Kluyveromyces lactis: one gene and its partners. The protein of the gene in region 6 purifies or fractionates together with the protein of the main gene of each other region. This does not show direct contact. Links are inferred from orthologs where the notes say so. Each region holds a gene or a part of one and is shown on either strand. Other genes may lie near its edges.

Region 1 (3,661 bases), on a different chromosome or scaffold from region 6:
AATTTTGCTTTAATCAATTCAATCTTGATAGGAAGTAGTAATCTCAAACATGTTTCATATTGTTTGCCCTCAAAGGCAGTCTTCAACCCCTTGGTTAGCTCTGGTAACGATGGCATCTTGGTTGCTGTCTATCTCTGTCCCTTTATTTCGGTGGCAAAACATATTCATGCAAGGTCTGAGTTAAGTTAATGTTGATATTTTCAATTTCACTGAATCTTGAATTTCTCATTACATAGTAGTAGATTTATAGGAACTTTGAACAAATGAAAGCAGGCAATGGGTAAGATAGGACACAAGATGCGCCGATCGTATTGCAATAGGTATTAACAGGCCATATCTAATCAATTGCATACGGATCAGATTACCATTTTTTCTTCAGTTTTCGGCTTTTTTTATTACTTTTGGTGGAGTTCACTGTACATTACTTCTTAAAAATACACAAACATGTATAGGATTACTTATATAGTAGCAGTATTTTCTGCTAGAGACACATGCTGCTGTTTAATACTGCAAAGTGCAATTACACTACGACATATTGTTCACTCTTCAAGGTAGATACGGTGTCGAATGGTAGTTCAGTGTCATCTGCGGCAGATACAACAGAAGCAATATTTAGGTTAGACAATGGTTTGGCATTGCTGTTCTTTAAAGCAACTTCGATAGGGAATAACGCATCTTCATAAGCAGCTTGGACAGTAACACTGAATACGCTTGACTGACCGGATTCAATTGGGTCCACCTTAATGATAATACCTTGGGACTCGTCAATGGCCTCTACGATTGCATTAGCCTCGTTTAGATCATCTTTGATGAATACAGTATCGGTGAAGACAGGAATCAAGAAGCGTAATTCATCGATAGTTCCTTCGTAATCACTGTTGACTTCATATTCAAAAGTAACATCAATGGCATTATCCGTTTCTGAAGATGGAGACAACCATGTTGAAATTTCTAATGGGATCAAATCATGTTCATCAGCACCCTTAACCTTACGCCATCTTAGCACACCCAAACTTTGATCATTGGATGGGAATGGTTTGTTAGGATCTCTTAGCCCGATCGTTTTGTTAGTTAAGAAACCAGCCTTGTCCACATTTGGATGGGTTTTGAATTGATACGTTTTGTCCTTGACATTGACGTCTGTACCGAGACATAGTTTGGCATGTGCAAGATCAGGGTTATTAACACGTAATTCTAACACACCCTTTAACTCTGAGCCCATGATAGCACCATCACGGGAAATTTCAGCGTTAATAGTTTCTTTTACGCTAATTAAAATACCATTGTTGATAGGCTTTTCTTCTTCAGGCAGAGTTGCTGTTTGAACTGATAATGATTGTCTTTCCACGTTCTTGATCGGTCTTTCAACGCCTCTTCTTGGCCCATTGACTTGCAAACCTTTACCACCCAAAGGCTCACGGTTTGCATACTGCTGTTGCTGTTGTTGCTGTGGTGCTAAATTCTGTTGTTGAATACCTTGATTAGATTGCGTGTGCATGTGTGACTGTTGAGCCGCGGATGAAGCATGGCTGTAGTAACTGTCATACGCCTTGTTCATAACACCACCATGGATACCGGTGAATTCCTGAGTGTCCGGAATACCCAATTTTCTTGCTTGTTCCTTTCTCGAAATCTCTTTTGCCCTACGCTTTCTTTCTTCCGCTGCTTCGAATTCCTTATTACGTTCAATAATTTCCTGTATTCTTTCCTCATGAGATTCCATTGCTAAGAAGGTCTTAATCTGAGTTAAAGATAGATTCTCCTTGTAGCCCATAGTAATGATTTCATCGAATGAGTTCAAGATATCGAACGCACTATCGAAAACATCTTCCTCACTTAGACCCTTCAGAGTAGAATCAACCGTTTGCACAAAAATGTTCAACGTGTCCATATCCTGGATTATATTGGAATGAAGATTCGTAATCAAAATAATATAGTAATCATCAAATGGCTTGTAAACATATCTGACATGTTCATCTTCAACAAAAGTGTGCTGCTTTGAGGAATTGGCAACTAAAGTCTGGAAATTCGACAACAATTCCATAACACGATCTTTCGTGATATCTCTGAATTGTCTAGACAATAAAGGCTTACCCTTACGAGTAGTGATAGAAACCGCTAGTACAACCATGATTATCAAGCCCTGTTCTCAATGTATCACGTCACAGGTTTCCTGGTGCCTGAATCAAAACTTTAACGAGACTATTATGCTTTCGGAATGATACAGCTTTGCCAGGTTCGTACATTTTTAACTATTTTCAAGTTTTCTATTTTGATATGTTTTGGTTCAGTTCCATTTTCGAAGGGAAAAAAAAGGTTCATCAAAATCAGGAAACCAATACTAGAAGAGTTCGTTCAATATGACTGGTTGAAATAGATCGTGAGTTTAGCTTGGATGGGTAAGGTTCATTCGAGCCGACGTATGAGAATGAATTTACTCTGACCAACTCATTGTCACAAAATCATCAATATGAGCTAGTTGGTATTCTGTGAGAAATTTGCCATATAGTAGGGCTCTTTTTCCATAACTTATTGATAAGAATTCTTCTAATGAGGTGAGTGACAGAATACTTTCAATTGCGATTGGATTGATGTCGAAATGTTGTAAGACCTCTTTGCTAAGGCTCATGCGATAAATTTGCTGTTCATTGGGCGTATTGGTACCACAATATAATGAAATCCACGTTGCTGTTAATTTGAGTTGTGTTTCCTCAACTAGATGAGTTGTTGTCCCACCGAGACAGTTTAATAAAAGTTGGGTCTTGTAAGCTAAGTTGGAATCTAACGCTAACGATCGTTCTGAGTACGATAAGAAGATTACCACTCTTTTATATTTACACTTCAATTCTTGTATTGCTCGGAGTAACGGGAAGCTGTCGACCTGTTTCTGATACACTGAAGTAATATTTCGAAGAATGAGACAGGTAGATGCGTCTAACAAGATATCCGAATGATCCCCCAAATCCATCTCAAGCACACAAAAGTTGTTCTGATGTAAGAAATTGATCAACTTGTAGTTTTTGGCAATATACTCTGCATTAAAAATGATTACTTTCTCTTCAGCATTATGGAAACTTTTATCGCTTAATTGGAAAGTGACATTGGACATTGTAGATTGCTCAACTGTCTCGTTCAGAGTAGCAACTGGGTTAACATCACCATTAGATATGGAGAGTCTCTTCAATTTGGACCGTTTGGCTGCTATTATGCTTACTAAATCTGCGTTTATGAAAGAGCGTTTCCCACTTGTCATTATCCTTTTGTTTGTCACTTCATCGACGTCAGTAGTTTCCTCATTTGCAAGAGAATCAATACACTGACTAGACTCTTGGACATTCTCTTTAGATTTTGGATCGAACTGATCATAACTGATAGCATTTACACTCCTGAAGCTAACGGGAATTTTGGATACCATCAAATCAATTTTGGAACTTGGAATTCTTTTGAAGACAAGCGCATAGGACGTACATCTAACTTGTACATCTCTTAATGATTCAAGTAGTTCCGAGTTTTTTGGCAAGTTTAACTCTTTGAATGGATTCCAATTTAGTCTTTTGATAATTTCGTCACTTATCCTCCATTTTGGCTTAATAGGCTTACTCCTGTAAACTGCTTTCCTCTGGAACTGATCAGCTTTGGGGTTCTCAAGCTTGTATAACTC
Region 2 (4,127 bases), on a different chromosome or scaffold from region 6:
GATAAGTCTTCTGCCAACGATTCCTTGTCGGATTTCACTAGAGCCTTAATTGCAATACCCTTACTTGTCTTGATCATCTTGATGGAAAGCAGGGCTTTAGTGTTGTCTAAGATACATTTTCCTGAAAGTTTTAGAGTATGTTGGGTGGCATCGTGGGATACTATTTGTGAGTTTTCCAAAGGTAAACCACCAGCGCTAATGACTAACTTGTCGATGACTTCTTGTAGTGTGTTAGTTTCGACAATGTTGTAGACAGAGACGGATTCATAAGGTAGTTCTTCCAAAGAGGTGGCAAAATTGCTTACGAATGATGGTTTCATGTAGTCACCGGGACTCAAGAACAATGAATCAAATTCGTATTCATCTTGGAACCCTTCGTCATCTTCGAATGGCAAAGAGGTAGATGGGTCTAATTCCTTGGATTGGAATTTCAACGAGTTGCTGAATCTTTCTACAATGATATCATCCTTGTTCTGTGTTAGTTTCTTGAACGATACGTAACATGACTCTCCTTCATTGGGTAAGAGTCTTTCAATAGGCAAAACAAATTCCTCTTGTTCGTCAAGTAAACCCTCTGATAATCCTTCTTGTTGGCATACCACTTCAACGTTATCAAGCGCAACGTCCTTCAATGTGTTAGTGATATGGAATTGTAATACAACGTGCTCGTCAAACAAATGCTTGATACCCTTCACAACGAATTCAGCTTCAATTTCCGTTAATGGGACAATCTTGGAAGAATGGATACACTTGCCAAAGGACTGGAATTGTTCCAAGGAGGACATTTCATCCACGTATTTGGACAATAGCAAATCTTCTTCTTCAGATTCCAATGAAGGTCCATTGAAGCTATTGTCATCCAATCTATCACCCTTTCTACCACCCTTTTCAGTACCGTTACCATTTCCGGCACCACTGTTGGAAGATTCTTCTGTATGGTTGAAGGCTTGCTCTTGTCTGCGTTTCAAATCCAATGCCTTCTTCTCGTCTTCGGAGTATTTGGCAACTGACGAGACGTCAAATGGAGTCTTGAATGCCTCTTGGCCTTGTGACAAATAGTGTGATAGTTTTGATTCAAGAGCAACAACGTCATAGGTAGAAGTTGGGCGAATGAAATTTTGTGCGATATTGGAAACATCTTTCTTGGACTTAACCGAATCGATGAATTGCAAAGCAATGGATGCTCTATCTCTAACTTCATCATCTGAATCAGTCTTGATTTGAGTCAATAGCTGTTCAATACTTTCTACTAACTCAGGGTCATTCTTAACAAGTGCAAATTTGGAAAGAGACAACACAGCAGCAGATCTGATGATAGAATTCTCTAGAATAACTCTATTGTAAATGTGTCTCACGTATAATGACGGGTTCTTAGTGGTTGGACCCTCCTTACCCAATAGATGTAAGATTCTAACCAATATTTCATTATATTCACAATCTTCGATGAAATCACATAATTCTTCTAAAGCTTTTTCCTTAGATTGTGGGACGAATTGAATTAAATCAATTAATGCTTCCACGACACTATTTTTGAATTGAAGACTGCCTTCGGCAGATTGTAAGGATTCCATCAAGAAATGTAATATTGTATCACATTCCTCAGGGAAATTTAGAGAAAGAGTTCTAATAGCATCAATAATGATGATCTTGAAATCGTCATTCACCTCGTGGATGAACTTGGTAATTGTCTTAATCAAAGAACCAATGTTCTTGTCGGTACCAGTCTTCAACAAGGTAGTGATTGTGTAAGTGGAAATGTTTCTGTTGCTATCGTTAACAAGAGATTCCAATTGTGGATTACATACCACAATTTTCTCTGGTGAAACCATAGAAATCTTGTTCAACAAACGCACTGCAGCAAATCTGGTTGTCACACGAGGAGTGGACAAGAATCCTTGCAAGACAGAAACCGCTGCTGCAAACAAATCGTTAGGAACCAAGTTGGATAGAGACGCAGTAAGCTTACAAGCTTCCAAAGCAACAGCCTCGTGTCTGCTTTGCAACCAATTAGCTATTAGTGGTAAGAACTGGGGGATGGAGTTAGGATCCTTCAAAACCAATTGGTGCACGAATTTAACCATTTGTACTTGAGCCAATTGATTTTTCAATGGTGAAGAATGACCGGCAAACTGTTGGATCAATTTGATCAAAGCCATCTTATCGTGATTCTTCAATTGGTACAACAAACCCAATGCATGGTATTGAGAGATATGAGACGTAGTTGGATAATATCTACTGTTCTCATCTGGATATGGCAACTGTTTCAAATCACCAACGGCTTCCTGAGTCTCATTAGCAAATCTCTTCACCGTAGTTTCAGCGATTGGTAATAAATGGTATGAACTGACCAAAGAAGCAGAACAAATAGATGGATGTTTGCTAACCAACGAATTTTTCAATAATCTTTCTGCAGAAAATGCAGTGGACTCATCCAAGACACGGATCAATGCTCTAATAGCATTAGGCTTCACTAGATCTGAACCATTTTGAACATCTTTCATAATTGAAGAAGTAGCCATCAAGATATCATCGGAGATTCCACACAATTCCTTAATAGCCACGTAAACGATTTGTCTCAAAGAATCGTTAGGGTGTTGGAACAATTTCGAAATGGAAAAGAATAAAGCAGTAGCTTCTTGTCTAGGGAAAGTCTCACCATGCGACAATAGTTCCAACAAGCTTGTGATCAGGGTACGGCACAGTTTAGGATTCACAGGAGATTCATTGAACCGATTCAAACAATCCTGATAGATCGCCATTTTGTCTGGCAAGGACCCACTGTGTGGGTCCTCAGACTTCTTATAAGTTTGTGCAGACATGCAATTGGCAGTGCTAGGATACCTTCAAATGACGTACTAACCTTTAGTAGCCAATTTTGAGCCTATTAACCTCGTGTTTTATCCAATTCTTTTTGCCGTGTGGTATGGTATATATTTATATTCATAATGTTTTCAGTTTGCAAATCGGTAGAAGTCCTTTGGAATGAAAAAAAAAGTGAAGCGGGTGTGTGAAAGTGAGGGTAACACTTGTTTTTTAATTATGATATATATGTATATATATATATATATATGGATATGGAGATATATATGATATAGCAGGCAAGATCACTGCTGCTGTTCATCTAGAGTCAGGAGTAGTTGTGCAAGACATCTCTTGGTACCTACATCGTCCTGTAGTGCTTCATTGAAGGTGTTATCTCTTAGTTGTTGCGGCAAAACTTGTTTCAACAATCTTCTGGCTTCTAAATTATCCGATAATCTTAGGTAGCATCTTACAACATGTTTCAATAATCTTCCCGGCACCTGTTGTTGGGACATGTGCTTAAACATAGTTGCCAAAACTTGTGACACCGCGTAGAACCGTTCTGGGGTCGCGCATACGAACTGGAGTCCGTTATCGTCTAATAATATTTTCTGTAAGATGAAGATAGCGACGATCTTCGAAAGTTCTGAAGAGTTTTCCATGATTCTTAAACATAATGGGATAATATCTGTCCTTAGAAGGAAACTGATCACTTCTGCAGAATCGTTTTTCACTAGAGCACCGATGACACCTAGTGAAGTTAGCCTTAAATATTCAAAAGTTCTTTGGTTTGATGTCGTAGATAAGAATGGGAAAAGGAACAACGGGATGTGAGCCTGTAAGAATTGAGGCCTGATATCTGGGTGTGATGCGACACATTGTAAGAGCACCAAAGCGTTGCATACGCGGTTTGATAACTGGTTTGATAATGCAGGAGGTGAAAGAAGCGGATAAATTGAAATTATTTCCTTTAGCAACGACGTCATCACACCGAAACTGGACCACAGCACGATAGCCAAATCCTCATACTGTTCACGTTTCTTACCTAGTTCTAGAAGCGCTTGTTCTTTGCTTGGCCCGTAAGTGAGCTGGCATATCCAATGGTAGACATTTGGATCATCTAGCGCATGTGTTATTCCTGCTGGTGTGGGACCTGGCCCAGGAACTGAACTTGGTCCTGCAGTTGGCCCTTGGCCCATCCCAGGCATCTGACCTGGAAGTTGGTTGTTTTCTACTACTGGGTGGGGCATTCCTTGTTGCAAACCAGGAGGCATATTTTGGGGTTGCTGTTGTTGCTGTTGGCCCTGGGTTTGATTTTGACCCTG
Region 3 (3,554 bases), on a different chromosome or scaffold from region 6:
TTTCTTCACCTCTTTCTTCTCGAACTGTACACGAGATATACCTCCGACATGACAAGATTTGTTTATGGCCCATGACTACGCGTTAATATCTTACTTCGAATCGACCTTAATCTTCTTGTCTTTCAAGAACATATCATTCTTTAAATCAACTTTCTAAATGCTACTTAATCAATAATTGTCATGATCACTGGATTGCATAATCCTTATTTCGCTACTCAAGCTACTAAATAATCATTAAATAATACGTAAAGCACAATAGACACTTGGTATTCCTTGGAAAATGTAGGTGTGTTGAAAAATCTCAAACTCTGACTACACACTGGGTGTTTGGAATGATCCTATATTTATTATTATCCAAATAATGGCGGTATTCATATTATGGTACAACGAAGAGATGTGTGACTGAAAAGGGTATCCTATTAAGGACAAGCTTTCATCTATTTGTTTATTTGTTTCTATTACAATAAAGCCATAAAGTTTTGTTCAGATTTTTTTTCATAGAAGGGAACTTATGGGGAACTTATGGCACTGATACTATTAACGTTAACTCCTTGATGAATGACTATACTTTATCTTACAATAAACTAACATAGGAATTAATTTCTCATGTAATCTCTTAGGTAGTTTCCTAGCTTTTGCGCTCCTTGTTCAACAGCGTTCTTCAACAGGTCAAATTCGTCATCAGCACCAGACGTGAACTCCATGAAGTTTCGTCCGCCAAGAGAACCGCTTCTGTTTGTTCTTGTTCCATTTTGTGGATTCAATGGTCTTCCAAATTCGTCGAACTGATCTTCGCTCTGGCCTTCGCCAAAGTATGAGGCTGAAGAAATAGATGTGGCATTACTGAAGTTCTGTCTGAGTTTTTCTTGAGCTTCTTTACTTGCCTCGTCATCGTAGCTTCCACGAGAAAACACCTGGTCTGAAGAGATACCCTTTTGTTCTCCGAATTTTTGGGCAATCTTACCTGTGTACTTTGGACCAGAGGCAGCCCTCCTTGATTCGTTAGTTTTGTTTTGTTCCTTTTCTGCATTATTGGAAGTCATACCAAACCCAAGTTTAGCCAACTTTGGTTTTGCCGCATCTTTGCTTCCAGTTAATCCTACATTGGAAGCATTGATTTGATCGAAAGTAATACCATCATTGTATCTGTTGGACCATTCGTCGTCCTCCGCGTCTTCGACATTGGTAGATGGCTTGGTTATTTTGCTGCTAGAGCTGAAACCAGATTTTTGTTGGAATGGCGCAGGAGTGGCATCGTATATGGAATTCGATAAATTATTGGAGTTAAGGGAAGTGGTGGCGAGACTTGAGGCCAATTCTTCCTCTTCCTTGGCTTCTTTTTCGAATTGATCAAACAAATCAGCATCCACCTTCTTGGCTGCAACCGGTTTCTTTGACTTACGAGAGGAGGAAAGGATGGAATGTTTCTTTGCTTGAGAAGAGCCTGCTGATCCTGTCAAAGTAGTTCTCTTAGTTGTAGTGGATCTAGCACCGTTGCTGGTTTTGTTGGCAGAACCACTTCCGGACAGAATAGAAGAACCATTCCTATTGCCAGTATTGGTTGGTGTTAAATTTCTAGGAGATGACGTCAAAGATATGTTACTTTGGTTTACAGGCTTTTCCCAGTTTGAGAAGAAATCATCAACGCTGTTGCTCTTTGAAGAACCAGAACTGCCCCCTGTGAATTCTTGTTCATCTTCTGCTGAAAATACAATTTCACCTGGATGTTGTTCAGCGTCTCTAGCCACTTTTTGATTCAAATGGCTCTGCCATTTCTTGGCTACCTGGCTTGTATATTTAGCCATCCGGTTGCTAGAAGAACCCAAATATTGTTTGCCGTTGTTCTTTAAGAAAAAATCCTTTGCCTTATCGTTACCACCAAGTTTGAACCTTCTCAAATTGTTGACAGTCCATTTGTCCAAATTACTTGACTTCACAAAAGTAATATGGGTACCCATATTTCTGTGCTCACCGGAACAATCGATGCAAAGAAGAACACCGAACGGAACTGAAGTCCAGGTAGGATTTTTGGCGCCACAGTCGAAGCATGCCCTGTTTTCAGACTTGGTTGTCAGTCTAGCAAACACTTTAGTCACGACTTCCTTGTCACAGTACACTTCTCCCGATTCGTCAATGCTAGCCATGGTTTAATTAAAATAAATCCTCTTGTAATGATAATGAAATGCTGAAATTCCGGAAAAAAAAACACCCTTGTGTTAAGTTAATAAGTTGATGCTAAGATACGGCAATAAAGATTCACGTTCCTGTAGCAGATTATCCTGGTAAATTCAGATCGTATCTCAAAAGCTAGATCAATCGCAAGAAAAAACTCTTAAGTATCAATTTTAGAAAACAGAGTACTTAATAACACGCTTTCTTACCACCTTAATAATAACTTGCGAAAAATACTTCTGTAAGTTCGGCGTGTCCCTCCCGCGCTCAAAGTGTGTACAGTAGTCTGTTGCACCTGTTATGATGTTACCAGCAGTGTAAAAAACTTAACTAAGACCAAAAACTACGTTCCTTAACGGTCCAAAATTTGAATAACCGTTCTGTCCTGTGTTAAAACCTTTTCTGTTTAGAAATTCGATCTTTCAATTTAAAGATGTCAAAGAAAATAGCAGATATGAATAGTCTGTATTATTATTACCCGGACCAAACAATACAATAGTGGGAATGGGATGATGAATTAACTGGTATTCATCATGTCCGAGCACCAGTACAATGCTAGCATATGGTATACTTAATATTGAATGTTGTAGTATGTGAACTAAATATAATATTATTGGCATATATAACGGAGACCTTAAGGTGGTATTAGATCAGAATATGTTAATCCATGAAACGTATTTAAACCATTTAGGTTCCACCAAAATACACGTTGCAGTAGCGTAGACGGTCGGTTTAGGGTTGTATATCCAATTGGGTACGCTCTTAGCCACTAAGGACTTTACGGATCCCAGTTTCGTAGAAGGATCAAGAGGTGGTGATTCCAACGTTCCTGTAATGATACATTTTCTTCCCTTGGTTTCAATGACCTGGGCGTTGAGCACAATGGTGGAATTAACTGGAACATCCTTCTGGAACGATATGTCTAGAGATGCAGTGACTCCACGCTTACTGGGAAGTGTAGGGAACCCGCAGAAACACAAAGCCTCGTCTAATAGCAATGAAAGTACACCTTTATGCACTGCATTCTTTTCGTTGCCTAAATTGTGGCCCAAATGATATATGACGTGGATCTTGTTCTGTGCATTATCTGTAAACACCACCGGATCAATTTCAAGCTTAGTTGGTCCGTAAAGCAACCCTTGACCTACGTGATAATCTCTATGAGGTACAGGGATCTTCTCCGATTGACGATGCATCATATAATCAGACGACTCTTTAAGTTTCTTGACCCATTCTGTGGCCCTAAGTTTATCCAATACATCGGTCCGTTGGTCCTGTAGCGGTCTATGTAACGTTTGTAGTGCTGATTCATCCAAATGCCATGGCTTAACGAAATATCCGAAGCCCAATGTGAACCCCGTTAAGGGTAAAATAACGTACCT
Region 4 (2,700 bases), about 530 kb from region 6:
GACTTTTCAACTTCTTCGTCACTCACATTGGATGATTTCTTGTTACCTGACGGAGTAACTTTTGGCTCATCAAGAACAGATGTTGAAGACAAAAAGCTATTCTGCTGTTGACCAGTGATCTTGTTCAACCTGCTGGAAGCACCTCCGTTGGAAAACTTCTGTTGCCTTCTTTCCCTCAACAATTTACGTTTCTCAGCATCAGACAATTCAGTAGCCATCTTGTAAACTCCAAATTCTGTGTGAATTACAGCTCAATTCGGGGGAAACTAAAGTAGAATTAGATCGACAATCAAAATAAGAAGATCAACTCCCCTGAATATTCGAACTAAATACAACGCAGGTGCCTTGTAAAACGATACCGAGTGACTGGTTTCAAAACTAACCCTTCACATTGTATAGGATGTTTGATCAATCCGCTTTATCTTGACAGTTCCCACGAAATTGATGGGAAAAAGAACAATGTTACCCGGAAAGTATCGCCAATACCAATACTATTTGCTACTCAAGATCTATTTGATATATATAGATTTAGGCTGTGTACTTTGCCACAATTTGATCGAAAGTCTTGTTATTTTCAAGGTCGGCAACACATAGTGGGTGAGATGGTTTCAATTGTTGCAATTCCGATCTCAATTCGTTTGCATTTCCACCAGATAAGATGGTGTACGTAATCTTATTTGCAAGTAGATCAGGCTTGTACGTTTGTGCTTCTTGTTTGATATCGTAGAACTCGCTTTCTAAGAGGTCGATGATTGCTTTGGATTCAGGCAAATGCGATTGTTGGAGGTGTAAATTCAATAGGCCTAATTGAGTCTTCCAACTTGGGAAAGTTTGAGACAACTCTTCAAAGAAATAGAAATTGGATCCAGTGATCTCTTTACCCTGGTTGAAGTTGATGTATGACTCTGCAAGATTCAAAATTATTTCATCGTCGTTCGATTGCTCCTGAAGTGCTTGGAAATTTTCAAACATAGTCGAGGCAATGGTTGGTTGATTATCCAACAAAGTTATTTGGATGGCCGTTAACAGTAGTTCCGGGGTTCCTCTTGTTTCATCGGAGTCAATTCCTTCAACGGCAACCTCCAAAGCAGTTTTAAACTCGCCCTTTATAGTCAATGCACTTGCTAATAAGTTCAATGCAAATGGAGATCTGCCCGCCTTTTCAACGGTTTGTTCTAGTGCAGTGATTGAGCCTGTAGGTTTGCTTAAAAATTTATAGTAAGCCTCAAATACAGGCCCAAGTGAGCCAGAATCAGCACTACCCTCACTGAACTGGGACAATGCAATCAATGATCTATTTCTGTAGTAAGTCAACGCCTCATCTTCAGTTTTGTTAAACTTAGAAACTTCGTTCAACGCTTCTTCATAGTTACCAGTATAAAACTGCTGTTTTACAGTAAAATAGTCCATTTCTTCTGAGTTGATATTTTTTTCTCAACAAATCTGACGTCGGAAAACTTCAATTAACCGTTATCGTGTATTGAAAGCGACTTTACTGGCTCATTAACGGGTCTATCTCACACGTATCCTTTAATATTGAGAGTCCATATGCTATCTTACTTTGATCCACCATGCGAATTGTCCAAAACTGAAAAACTGACAGGATCAGGGTAATGGATGTTTTTCATTCACGTGATCTTTTTTTTTGTATTTTTCCTTTCTCGAATAATTCTCGAAGGTGTGGATCACCATATGGCGTTTATTTAAGGGATTGAGAGTATTTATCAGAAGAAATTCAGAGCCAGTTACTTTGGACGTTTAAACGATACGGGTTGGAAAAGGAAACAGATTCAGTAATTAACAGTACACTTCTTACGACCATTGGTTAATTCCGGATTTGAGATTTATATTTAAAACGTCTGAGTGAGAGAGAGAGGTTAGCAAGAATTTTTTCCTTCTTAAGACGAATCACGACTTGGCCTAGATTTATCTCAGACTAATTTCATGGTGAAGAGTCAATCCACGTTAATATATCATAAAAGATTTATTTAACTGGATCTTTAATTAAAAACCTGTCATAATGTCCGGTTCAAGTGACAGTTCACATGATACCACCGTTAAGGATATAACTGAGGATGAGCAGTTCTTGAGGATAAGAAGGCTGAACGACAACAACCATGGGAAGAGGAAGTCTTTGCATGAGGAACAGTTGGAGGATGCTGTTCTCGATGAACTTGGATCTCCGGACGTTCTTTTCAACACGGTCCAGCCTAACGACACGGTTATCTTTAAGACTAGAACCACCTCCGAACAAGGCGACAAACATCTGCATGTTTTCATGCAGAAATTGAAGGTGAAGGAAAAGAACAGATATAAGAAGGATACGAATGAAATGCAGTCCATGACACGAGATGTAGACTGGGGCTCTAGAGGTAGTATCATGGATGAGATGGTCAACAATCCGCTTAGATCTCATTTCAATGGGCCAGCAATAGACGAGAAATATTCTAGAGTAAAGGCAACAGCCAGATCAAATACGGTGAGGATAGATGACAATAATACTATTGAAATTGCAAATGAAACTATAGCAACAGACTTTTCTGGATTCTATGTCTTATTTTGGATGGCAGTTGCGTTCACCATCTGCAAAGTGACATTACAATATTACGAGGAACATGGTGATTTTTCACAGTCAATTATCTTGCGATACATGACCATGAATCTTTGGAAAGTTGCGTTATATGATATCGCAATGTACCT
Region 5 (4,366 bases), on a different chromosome or scaffold from region 6:
AAGTTTACAACGGCTACCTGCTTATTCAAGGCTTGGGCAGCAGCATCAAAGGCTCCAGCGGCTACTAGAACTGCTGGAAGCTTTGAATTTTTAACCCACATTGGCAATTCTGATTCATCTACTTGTTCTTCAGTCACTTCGGATTCTTCGATCTCTAACTCGTCGTCTAATTCCAAATCATTTTGGTCTAGGTCCCAAGCATCTTCTTCCTCTCCAACAGCTTCATCATCAAAGTCTAGGTTATCTTGTTCTCCTAAATCAAACTGGCCAACATTTTGGGTAGTATCTGAAACATTTTCTTCCTTATCATCAGAAATTTCAAGATCTTCGATTTGGCCCAAAAGGGCTTTTTCAAAGAATGAGACTTCAGCTTGCTTTAACGGCCAGTTTTTCAAAGGAGCAGAAATGACAGGGGTTTTTACATTTGTGGAGGAGTTGAGTTCAGTTGGTAGGGAAATGTCTTGCTCATCAATTTCTTCGGATTCCAAAATGGAAGTGGCAAGGTCATCGTCGCCGTTAGCTTTTGCCACTGCATAAGCCAAAGGAGCAGAGCCTGCATTTAAAAAGACATTTGCACGCTTCTGAACTGAGTTATTGTAAAAGGTATTTTGAATCAAGCCGGAAATATCTGATCTATGTTCAGCAATAGACTCCATTTTTGCCAGTTTGGAGTTGTCTCCCTTAAGTAGATATAGGAAAGACAGTTTATCAAACTGCTTAGTGTTTTGATATACCAATTCAGCGATATCTGTGTTACCTTGGATCAAAGCTTCTTTGCCCAATCTTTCCCATACAAGTTCATTGTTCAATTTCTCAGCTTCTTCAAGAGCAACTGTCAAATTACCGTATTGTGTAGCCAAATCAAATCTTGTTTGAGGATCCTCCACGAATTGTAACGCAATTTCAGGATAGCCTGATTTTTGAAGATAAGATATGATGTTTTGACCAACTAAATTTGAATTTTTAATGATACGCAATACCTCAGGGAAATTTTTGTTGACTAAAGTCTTCTTGAAACGATATTCAGTAGGATCAATTGTCAAAATCTCTACTTCCCCTTCACGATTCAAAGCATAGACAAATTTGCCATGTACCTTGTTGATGTATAATGTTCTTTCTAAGGTTTTAATGATACCAGAATCACCATTCAATAGACAGTATTTGATATGGTTCAATGTTGAATAAATTAGGACACCGGTTTCATCCCAACTTGCACTCTTGATTCTAATACTTTCATGGTTTGATGTAACGATTTCCAGTTTTCTGTTTGCGATTGTCAATGTATGCTTACTCATCAATGCAACATATTGGCCATCTTGAGACCACACTGTATACTTGATGTTCTTTAAAGATAATTCATGAAGAATTTTACCTTGTTGGACGTCCATCATTACCACAGAATGAGAATATAGAATCAAAACAGTACCAGGAGCAGCTAATGTGATGTCTTTAACAGTATCAGTTAATTTGATTGACTTTGTGGTTTTGTTATCTAAACTACGAACCTCCAAGCTATTAGTGCTGCCATTGTGCACCACAAATCTGTTACGAGCAACGAAGATCGCAAAACTACCATCATCAGAGATGACGTTGCTAGCTTCAACAGCTCCACTAGGTTGTTTAGGTAAGACACATAAGCTGAACCTGTTGGCTTCCTTTTCGGAGGAGTTGACAAGGACGGAATGTTGGGATGGGTTATAAGACATACTTCTAAATGAACTCCAGGTCTTGCCGATGTTTTTCAAAGAAAGATAAGGTAGAGAAGTGATTCTCTTGTGGTAATCAAACATTTGGACTTGTTTCTCCCTGTTGATAAAGAACAACTGATTTTGGTTTATAGCAGTTGGTGGTCTTTCACGGTCCAACTTAAAGATCATAATACCAGAATCATGAGCAGCACCGAACAGATTTAGGTTTGGGTGAGCTCTCACTAACCAGAATCTGTCATTTTCTCTTTTGAACTGTTTAATTGGAGTACGCTTGTCCAAGTCCCATACTCTTACGGTTTTATCCTCACCAACTGATATAATGAGATTCTGTTGAGGATGGAAAATGACGGAATCAACGTTGTTGGTATGACCTCTACAAGTATCGACCTCCCATGCCTTTGTGGCACTCATTCTCCACAATTTCACTTGACGATCATCAGAACCGGAAACGATCAATGGTAAAGTTGGATGGAAAGAAGCCCAATTTACTCCTCTAGTGTGGCCTTCTAAAATGAACTTCACCACACAATCTCCAAATCCTCCGTCAAGTAAGTTCTGTTGCTGTCTCATTTGTTCTTCGAATGATTGAGTGCCTGGTGCGGAATGTCTTTTTCTTAGCCCTGAAATATCCCAAACTCTAACGGTTTCATCCAAAGAAGCAGAAACCACCAAATCTTCGACTGGATGGAATTGGGCACACATTACGAAGTGGTTATGGCCAGTTAAACATGCTATTTCCTTTCTGTTCTGCCAGTTCCAGATTCTGATGGTTTGATCGTCGGAACTGGAAATAATCCATGGCAATTCGTGATGGAAGAATACTGTACGAACATAGTCTAAATGGCCGTCCAATGTGAATAGACACTTGTTGCTCTCTAAAGACCATACTTTGATAGTATAATCATCACCTGCAGAAACGAAAAGAGGTTGCGTTGGATGGAAATCAATGCCACGTACCGGACCCTCATGATCTTCAAAACGGTGAAGCAAAACACCCATACGGTAATCCCATAATTGGATGGTTGATGAGAAAAGTGCTACCAGAACCCAAGGCCTAGACGGATGAAAAGCAATACCTTTCGCCCTGGTAGACTTTGATTCGAACTTAGTTAACATCTTCATGATGAAAGCAAGCTTTTCAAGACTTCGATCTAAATCTGAGTAAAAACTGTGAGAAATATAAGAAGAATAACTCGGAAGAAAACGTCACAATTGCAGTTAACAATATACCAATTGGTTACGATTGAAGCTTTCCTTCGATGGTTAGTCCTCACTGACAACTCAATTAGACGACAAAGTACCTTGATCGTTGTTTATTAGCCAAAGTCAGCTTCATTCAAGGTTCATAAAATTACTTAAAATACACATATGGCTTACTATTTTGAAATAAGATCGTGTTTTATTTGAAAAGTTGTCCTTTTTGAAAATTGGAAGAATCCGAAGAGTATGCAAAGGACGTAATGGTAGGGTAATAATTACCCGAATTTGTGCCAGACGCATCTCTACAGATTCTATGCGTAAGAGAATGCTAGAAGAGATAGCATATACGAGAGTGGTATACATAGGTCTATATATCTATACATGTATAGTGTAGATGTGAACATCTGGGCAACCTTTACTGATTAATGTAGCATATTAAGCAATCTTTTGATAGGATTTCTGTTATTGTGACTGGAACCCCCATTTGTGGTAGCATCGCGTGACTGCAGAGCGTTTCGTAGGAGCAAATCTTGTTCTTCATGATTTTTTTCCGATGGTTTATTAGTGTCTTGAATAAACCTGTTTGAAGGACTCTGATCCGGCCCATCTCCCTGCTCTTGCTTCAATTGTTTACCTACCAAAAGACTTTGTTGCTGTCTTCCCGGATTTAGGCCATTCTTGTCCAAGGAAGATAAATAAGGTAATTTGCCCTTCTTCCAAATGACTGAATCTTCAAACCACGTATGCTCATTAAACTTGTCATAATTGTAATCGTAAGTAATATCTAACAATGAATTAGCATCAATAGGTAAATGTAATCTTTCTAGTTCATCAACTATTGATGGCCAGAATTTGTTTTCGTAAGGTGTAACGGCTATTGATTCCACAGTTGCATAAAATTGACCCTTCTCAAGTATATCGGGCGAGTTTTCCCAATCAATGAGCCCTCCAGCCCACATTATGGTACCAGGGTCAGCATCTTCTCTTCCACCTGGCCACACCGACACTTGCAATCTCATTGGTGTTTGTGGATATTCGTATCTTTGTTTTTCCTCATTCCATGTATCTTCCTTGTATAATGTTCTAGCTACTACACCGTCCACAATCCAGTTGATTCTATCTTGGTCCCAATCGACTTCGTAAATATGAGTATTTTCAAAACTGTCAGAACTTAGTTCTAGCTTTTCCATCCTTGTGTGATTTAATTCACCTTGGTGATAATAATTAGATTGAGCATGATGTAATTCTCCTCCAATAAATTCAAAATCAATTTCATCACCTACAGTTGAAATTAATACCACTGCAGTAACAACTCCGCGACCTCTAGCTGTTTTCATTTTTACGGTAGCTCTACCGTATAGAAAAGATCTTGTGGATGATATTAAACTTCCCGAAGTATGTTTAGGCATAGCAAGAGTCAATTGACCAGGTGCATCGTATTTAACAAATCCACTGTA
Region 6 (4,433 bases):
CACCATTGGTTAAAGCTAACCCTTGGGTCTTTGAACGAATACGGATTTCACCAACAATTTCTTGTGTGATTGGATCCTTCTCTATGCACAGGTTAGCCAAAGCGTCCTCGCCAAATGTAGATCTAGAATATAAGTTACAACTTAGGAATCTGGAATCATTGTCGCCGAGTGCCTCTTCAGGGGTTAGAACCTTCATATGTGTAACTTCCACCAACTTCTCTAAATAACCGCGTAAAGATGGTAATTTGGATTTGATACGAAGTTTATTTTCCCATTCAAACGCATTCCACATCTTACGGAAACTGTTATCATCGCAGATTGCTGGTTTCACATAATCCATTGTGTCGATATGAACGTCATTCAAGATGACATAACGAGAATCTTGACCGTGACCACCATCATATATAATGTTACCGAAAATAACACCAGTATCTGCTGAGGACACCTTTGCTGTTATCGTAATTTTGTGGAACCCATGTGGAATAACGTTGGTGCTAGGTGGGTGGTCAATAATTTTTAAGTCACCAAGAGTAGCGAATTGAACATGTAGGTTTTTCAAAGTATCCTTGGTTTGGTTCACTAATAGAACATCTAACACAACATCGAATTGGTGATTAGTGATATAACACTCGGCATAAACAGGATCGCTGAAACCAGTCAATGGGACGATCTTCTTCAATTTTGAAGTGATAGAATTAGCTTGTAGTTTGGAATATGATACAGTACCGGTGGTAGCCAATTTTATATCTTCTTCGATTGAATCGACGGGGGTATTGTGCAAGCCTGCATTCTTAAATTGTCTGAAAACGATGGATTTATCGATGGCCTCGGCGTGCTTGGCTAGGTAGTTTGATCTCTTGGCAGCATTCTTCTTCAAAGTAACATTGACTCTTGATTTGTATGATTCGTTGGTAGCTTCCAAGAATGCCAAACTCAAAAGTTCTTTCTCTGCTTGACTTTCTTCGGTAGAAATCTCGTCCATCAATACCGAAATTGCCGTCATTAGTCTTTCAGCAGAGTCCTCGTCAATCTTCTTTTCTACTAAGTTACTTTGACCTAATCTGATGATACTAACCAAAATCAACAACCCTTCGGCCTTTAGGGCGTTAGTTACAGAAGTGTTCTTGGAAATCTTTTCGAATTTCAACACCAATTTAACGATAGAGTTAGCCAACACAGAGGCAGTAAAGAAATCTCCATTTAGGACGAAACGACGTAAAGGAGGTCTTGCTTCTTTTTCCTCGTTTGAGGTGGATTTGACCTTTTCTGAGACAGATAGAGCAGATTCGGTTGCATAAGTACCATCTGGCAAAACTACCGGCCCTGTGGATACTATTGGGGCCTTTTCAGTATCGTCTTCGTCATCATTTTGAACTCTTCTCAGTTCAGATTGAACAATTGGAACTTCACCTATACTTGAACGGATGTGCTTCCAGGTATTCTGGATTTCTGCTTCGGATTGGGCATGCTCACCTAGTACCCAAAGAGCACCACGGTAAGCCTTTGCTGACTTTACTTCATGCAATGTCTCAATCAAAGTAGTTAAAATCTCAGATCTTAACTCAGGATACCTTTCAATGACCTGTTTTGTAAAGGAAATGACATCATTGGCACTTTCAGACGACAAGTTACCGATAAAATCTAGAAGCAATGAGACAACATTGGAGGAGACTTCAATAAATCTTATTGCCACTTTGTTAATGGATTTGATCAATAATTGCCTGTACTCCAGAGTTTTATCGTTACTGCTATCAGCAGTAGATTGTAATTCTTTCCTCAATAACTTAACTACACTGTCTACGTTTCTGGACGTAATCAATTCTAAGGAGATATCCAAAGCCTTAGCACGGACATCCAAATCTTGTGCGTTCAAAACACGTAGAATATCCAATGTTAGATCCTCTAAAGAGCCTGGATTCTTCTCGTTTATTTCGTTGATTTTTTCTAAAACAACCAACTTGATGTTGTTATCAGATTCTTTTGTGGCCAAATCAATTAGCTTGTTAGCTACGGTCAATAAAATAGCTTCTTTATTGGTTAGAACAGTTAAAGTAATGGCAGCTTCGTACATGACATCCGTAGAACGAGTAGAAACTAAAAGATCTTGCAACAATTCAACATACTGAGAGACCAATCCTGGAGTTTTGATAGCATCCTTTCTAATGAAACTAATGAAGGCGTTTTGTAGCAAAGCATCCAAATTTTCAATCGAAGTTAGGTTGTCCTGTAGGTAGTTCAACGCAGCTTCACGGTCCAATTCTGCAAGACCTAGGAAAGCATTTCTCTTACAAATTGGATCAGTTTCTGCAACCAAAAAGGAATCAATCACTTCACAAGCATCAGGAATCAAATGGTCGCTGACTTTGTAAATGGAAAGAACTGCTAAGATTGCATACTTACGAACGTATGCGTGTCTGTATTCCAAACAAGCACGGACAGAAGGAACCATTTGCTCTAAAAGTTCTGCTTCTTTCAATTTCGTCAAGAATCTTAAGGTATTGCCCCTGATGTATTCGTTTGGATGTTGCAAATCATGTTGGATAGCGTTGCAGACAAGAATCATTTCTTGCTTCAATTTACCTTCACGATCTAATTTTGGAACAATTTCCCAGTAAAAGTATAAAAGCTTCTTCAATTGCTTGTTCTTTGAAGGCATCACAAATCTGATGATGTGCATCAACAAATCTGGTAATGGATTACCATCTAACATGGTCACCAAGATCCTCTTCATGGTCGCGATCTTTTCAGTATCAGACCCCTTTTCCAATGCCTTTTGGAAGTCTGATACGGTATATGTGACCCCATTTGGATTGGGGTCGTACACTAACGTATACGCAGGTTGTTCGACGCCGACTGTCATACCTCAATTGACCTGTGTGTCTTGTGTAGCTTCTTTTAACTTCCTGGTTCTCGCATATGTTATTTCATAACAGAACTGTTCCAAAACAGCATGTTCTTTATTTCAGAATCTCATTTTCGTCCTGAAAATCAACATAAAACAAAGTACGGGTAACAATGAATTTGACCGGGTATTAGAAACGTTAATATATACATTGGTACAAGATACGTATAGATCAAGATATAGATGCAGCAGTAATATTGTTTGAATGATAGTTTATTCTGAATCTGGGTTGGTTATATGCAATCCTGTTCCAGCGGTACCGCGGTAGTAACCGAAATCTGCTACGTCAAGCTCGTAATCATCGTCAGCATTCGAAATGCTAGATTTATGAGATTTGGGATTAGTGTCACCTTTTTCATGTACTGCAGGAGTACATGGCTTTTGAGATTCTTCAATCAGGTTATATTTCCGTAGATCTAGTGGTAGCTGTGGACTGTACGTTACGTCTAGAGTACCGCTTCTCATTCTACCAGCATTTCTCGTGAAATAGCTGGATACAGTATCTGATCTTTTCAAGCGCGTTTGGGAAACTTCGTCATGAATTCTTTGTTTTGGGTTCTCACGCAACGGTGCCATTAAATCATCGCTATCGTATGCCTCATCACCAGGAATATCATCAAGAATATCTTGGTCTGCCTCGGAAATTTTTTCATCCTTGTTGAACAAAGTATGAAATTCCTTAGTATGATCAACTTTTGTGGACTCGGTATTGAATTTGAGGCCTGTAGTACTGTTATTTTCCTCTTCTTCTTCCTCTTCTTTTGTAGTTTCAAGTGATAATAGCTTCTGTTTGGCCTTGCCGTGCTTTATACCGACTTGTCTAGTACTTGTTCGTATTGTAACTTTGATATTTTGTGGTTGTTCAAGAGTATTCTTGTTCTTCAAAGCATAAGGTAGATCTGGAGGCAACTGTAAGGAATTTGACGTGGGGAAGTACAAGAGCCGTAGCTCTTCTATGTAGCTTGAGATGAGTCGAACATTTTTATCTGGAATCGATCCCTTGGTCAAACTTTTCTTGAATTCTGATGACGGAGTCGTGTTGATGGTGTCGTTATCAATGGACTTTGCTTCCAGTGCTGAAGATTGACGAGATTCAGTATTACTTAATAACGAAGATGCTGCACCTTTTTTAGATGAAGATAAAGAACTGCGTCTTGCCAGCGATGCGGTTATGGAATTGGTATCTGTATTCATGTAAGAATTATCATCTTCACTCGTGCTGTCATTGAAATAAAAGTTTGGTTTTTCTTCGTTAACTACTCTGAAATTCCTTCTTTCGTACTCTGATCCACCTATCATTTGATATAAATCATCTTCATCTGTACTTCCATGCTCTTGTTCTGGCTCTGGCATTTGATCATAACCCGCTTCGTATTCGTGCAGATCCGCATAATTTTCTTCGGATTCAGAGCCAGAGGTTTGGTCGGCGTTTGTAACGACAAATCGCGAGGATGTTGGAATGCCTCCTACATCACTTAAAGATGAGGCGGCAGTGCTTTGTTGGAGATCGGTAATCGCATTCTTTTTGTTA

The links.
Region 1: the proteins of SEC26 (region 6) and RET2 purify together in Saccharomyces cerevisiae (affinity purification with mass spectrometry; 5 studies listed by BioGRID). This does not show direct contact. The link is inferred for Kluyveromyces lactis from reciprocal best matches to the Saccharomyces cerevisiae genes SEC26 and RET2.
Region 2: the proteins of SEC26 (region 6) and SEC21 purify together in Saccharomyces cerevisiae (affinity purification with mass spectrometry; 4 studies listed by BioGRID). This does not show direct contact. The link is inferred for Kluyveromyces lactis from reciprocal best matches to the Saccharomyces cerevisiae genes SEC26 and SEC21.
Region 3: the proteins of SEC26 (region 6) and GLO3 purify together in Saccharomyces cerevisiae (affinity purification with mass spectrometry; 4 studies listed by BioGRID). This does not show direct contact. The link is inferred for Kluyveromyces lactis from reciprocal best matches to the Saccharomyces cerevisiae genes SEC26 and GLO3.
Region 4: the proteins of SEC26 (region 6) and SEC28 purify together in Saccharomyces cerevisiae (affinity purification with mass spectrometry; 5 studies listed by BioGRID). This does not show direct contact. The link is inferred for Kluyveromyces lactis from reciprocal best matches to the Saccharomyces cerevisiae genes SEC26 and SEC28.
Region 5: the proteins of SEC26 (region 6) and COP1 purify together in Saccharomyces cerevisiae (affinity purification with mass spectrometry; 8 studies listed by BioGRID). This does not show direct contact. The link is inferred for Kluyveromyces lactis from reciprocal best matches to the Saccharomyces cerevisiae genes SEC26 and COP1.

Annotation. Positions count from the first base shown.
Region 1 is NC_006040.1:975,888-979,548, forward strand, and holds RET2 (coatomer subunit delta), read right to left. Parts: upstream 2,132-3,661; coding exon 521-2,131; downstream 1-520. Other genes in the region: proteasome regulatory particle lid subunit RPN12, read right to left, coding at 1-116; ZIP2 (Zip2p), read right to left, coding at 2,435-3,661. UniProt on the Saccharomyces cerevisiae protein: The coatomer is a cytosolic protein complex that binds to dilysine motifs and reversibly associates with Golgi non-clathrin-coated vesicles, which further mediate biosynthetic protein transport from the ER, via the Golgi up to the trans Golgi network.
Region 2 is NC_006041.1:1,173,199-1,177,325, reverse strand, and holds the start of SEC21 (coatomer subunit gamma), read right to left. Parts: upstream 2,820-4,127; coding exon 1-2,819. Other genes in the region: CCR4-NOT core subunit CAF40, read right to left, coding at 3,105-4,127. UniProt on the Saccharomyces cerevisiae protein: The coatomer is a cytosolic protein complex that binds to dilysine motifs and reversibly associates with Golgi non-clathrin-coated vesicles, which further mediate biosynthetic protein transport from the ER, via the Golgi up to the trans Golgi network.
Region 3 is NC_006041.1:616,721-620,274, reverse strand, and holds GLO3 (ADP-ribosylation factor GTPase-activating protein), read right to left. Parts: upstream 2,145-3,554; coding exon 597-2,144; downstream 1-596. Other genes in the region: MRX3 (Mrx3p), read right to left, coding at 2,823-3,554. UniProt on the Saccharomyces cerevisiae protein: GTPase-activating protein for the ADP ribosylation factor (ARF) family. Involved in retrograde vesicular transport from the Golgi to the endoplasmic reticulum.
Region 4 is NC_006039.1:798,530-801,229, reverse strand, and holds SEC28 (coatomer subunit epsilon), read right to left. Parts: upstream 1,411-2,700; coding exon 529-1,410; downstream 1-528. Other genes in the region: GET complex subunit GET2, read right to left, coding at 1-218; ARE2 (sterol acyltransferase), read left to right, coding at 2,021-2,700. UniProt on the Saccharomyces cerevisiae protein: The coatomer is a cytosolic protein complex that binds to dilysine motifs and reversibly associates with Golgi non-clathrin-coated vesicles, which further mediate biosynthetic protein transport from the ER, via the Golgi up to the trans Golgi network.
Region 5 is NC_006042.1:478,852-483,217, forward strand, and holds the start of COP1 (coatomer subunit alpha), read right to left. Parts: upstream 2,832-4,366; coding exon 1-2,831. Other genes in the region: CRR1 (putative glycosylase), read right to left, coding at 3,332-4,366. UniProt on the Saccharomyces cerevisiae protein: The coatomer is a cytosolic protein complex that binds to dilysine motifs and reversibly associates with Golgi non-clathrin-coated vesicles, which further mediate biosynthetic protein transport from the ER, via the Golgi up to the trans Golgi network.
Region 6 is NC_006039.1:1,329,068-1,333,500, forward strand, and holds the start of SEC26 (coatomer subunit beta), read right to left. Parts: upstream 2,861-4,433; coding exon 1-2,860. Other genes in the region: KLLA0_C15301g (uncharacterized protein), read right to left, coding at 3,116-4,433. UniProt on the Saccharomyces cerevisiae protein: The coatomer is a cytosolic protein complex that binds to dilysine motifs and reversibly associates with Golgi non-clathrin-coated vesicles, which further mediate biosynthetic protein transport from the ER, via the Golgi up to the trans Golgi network.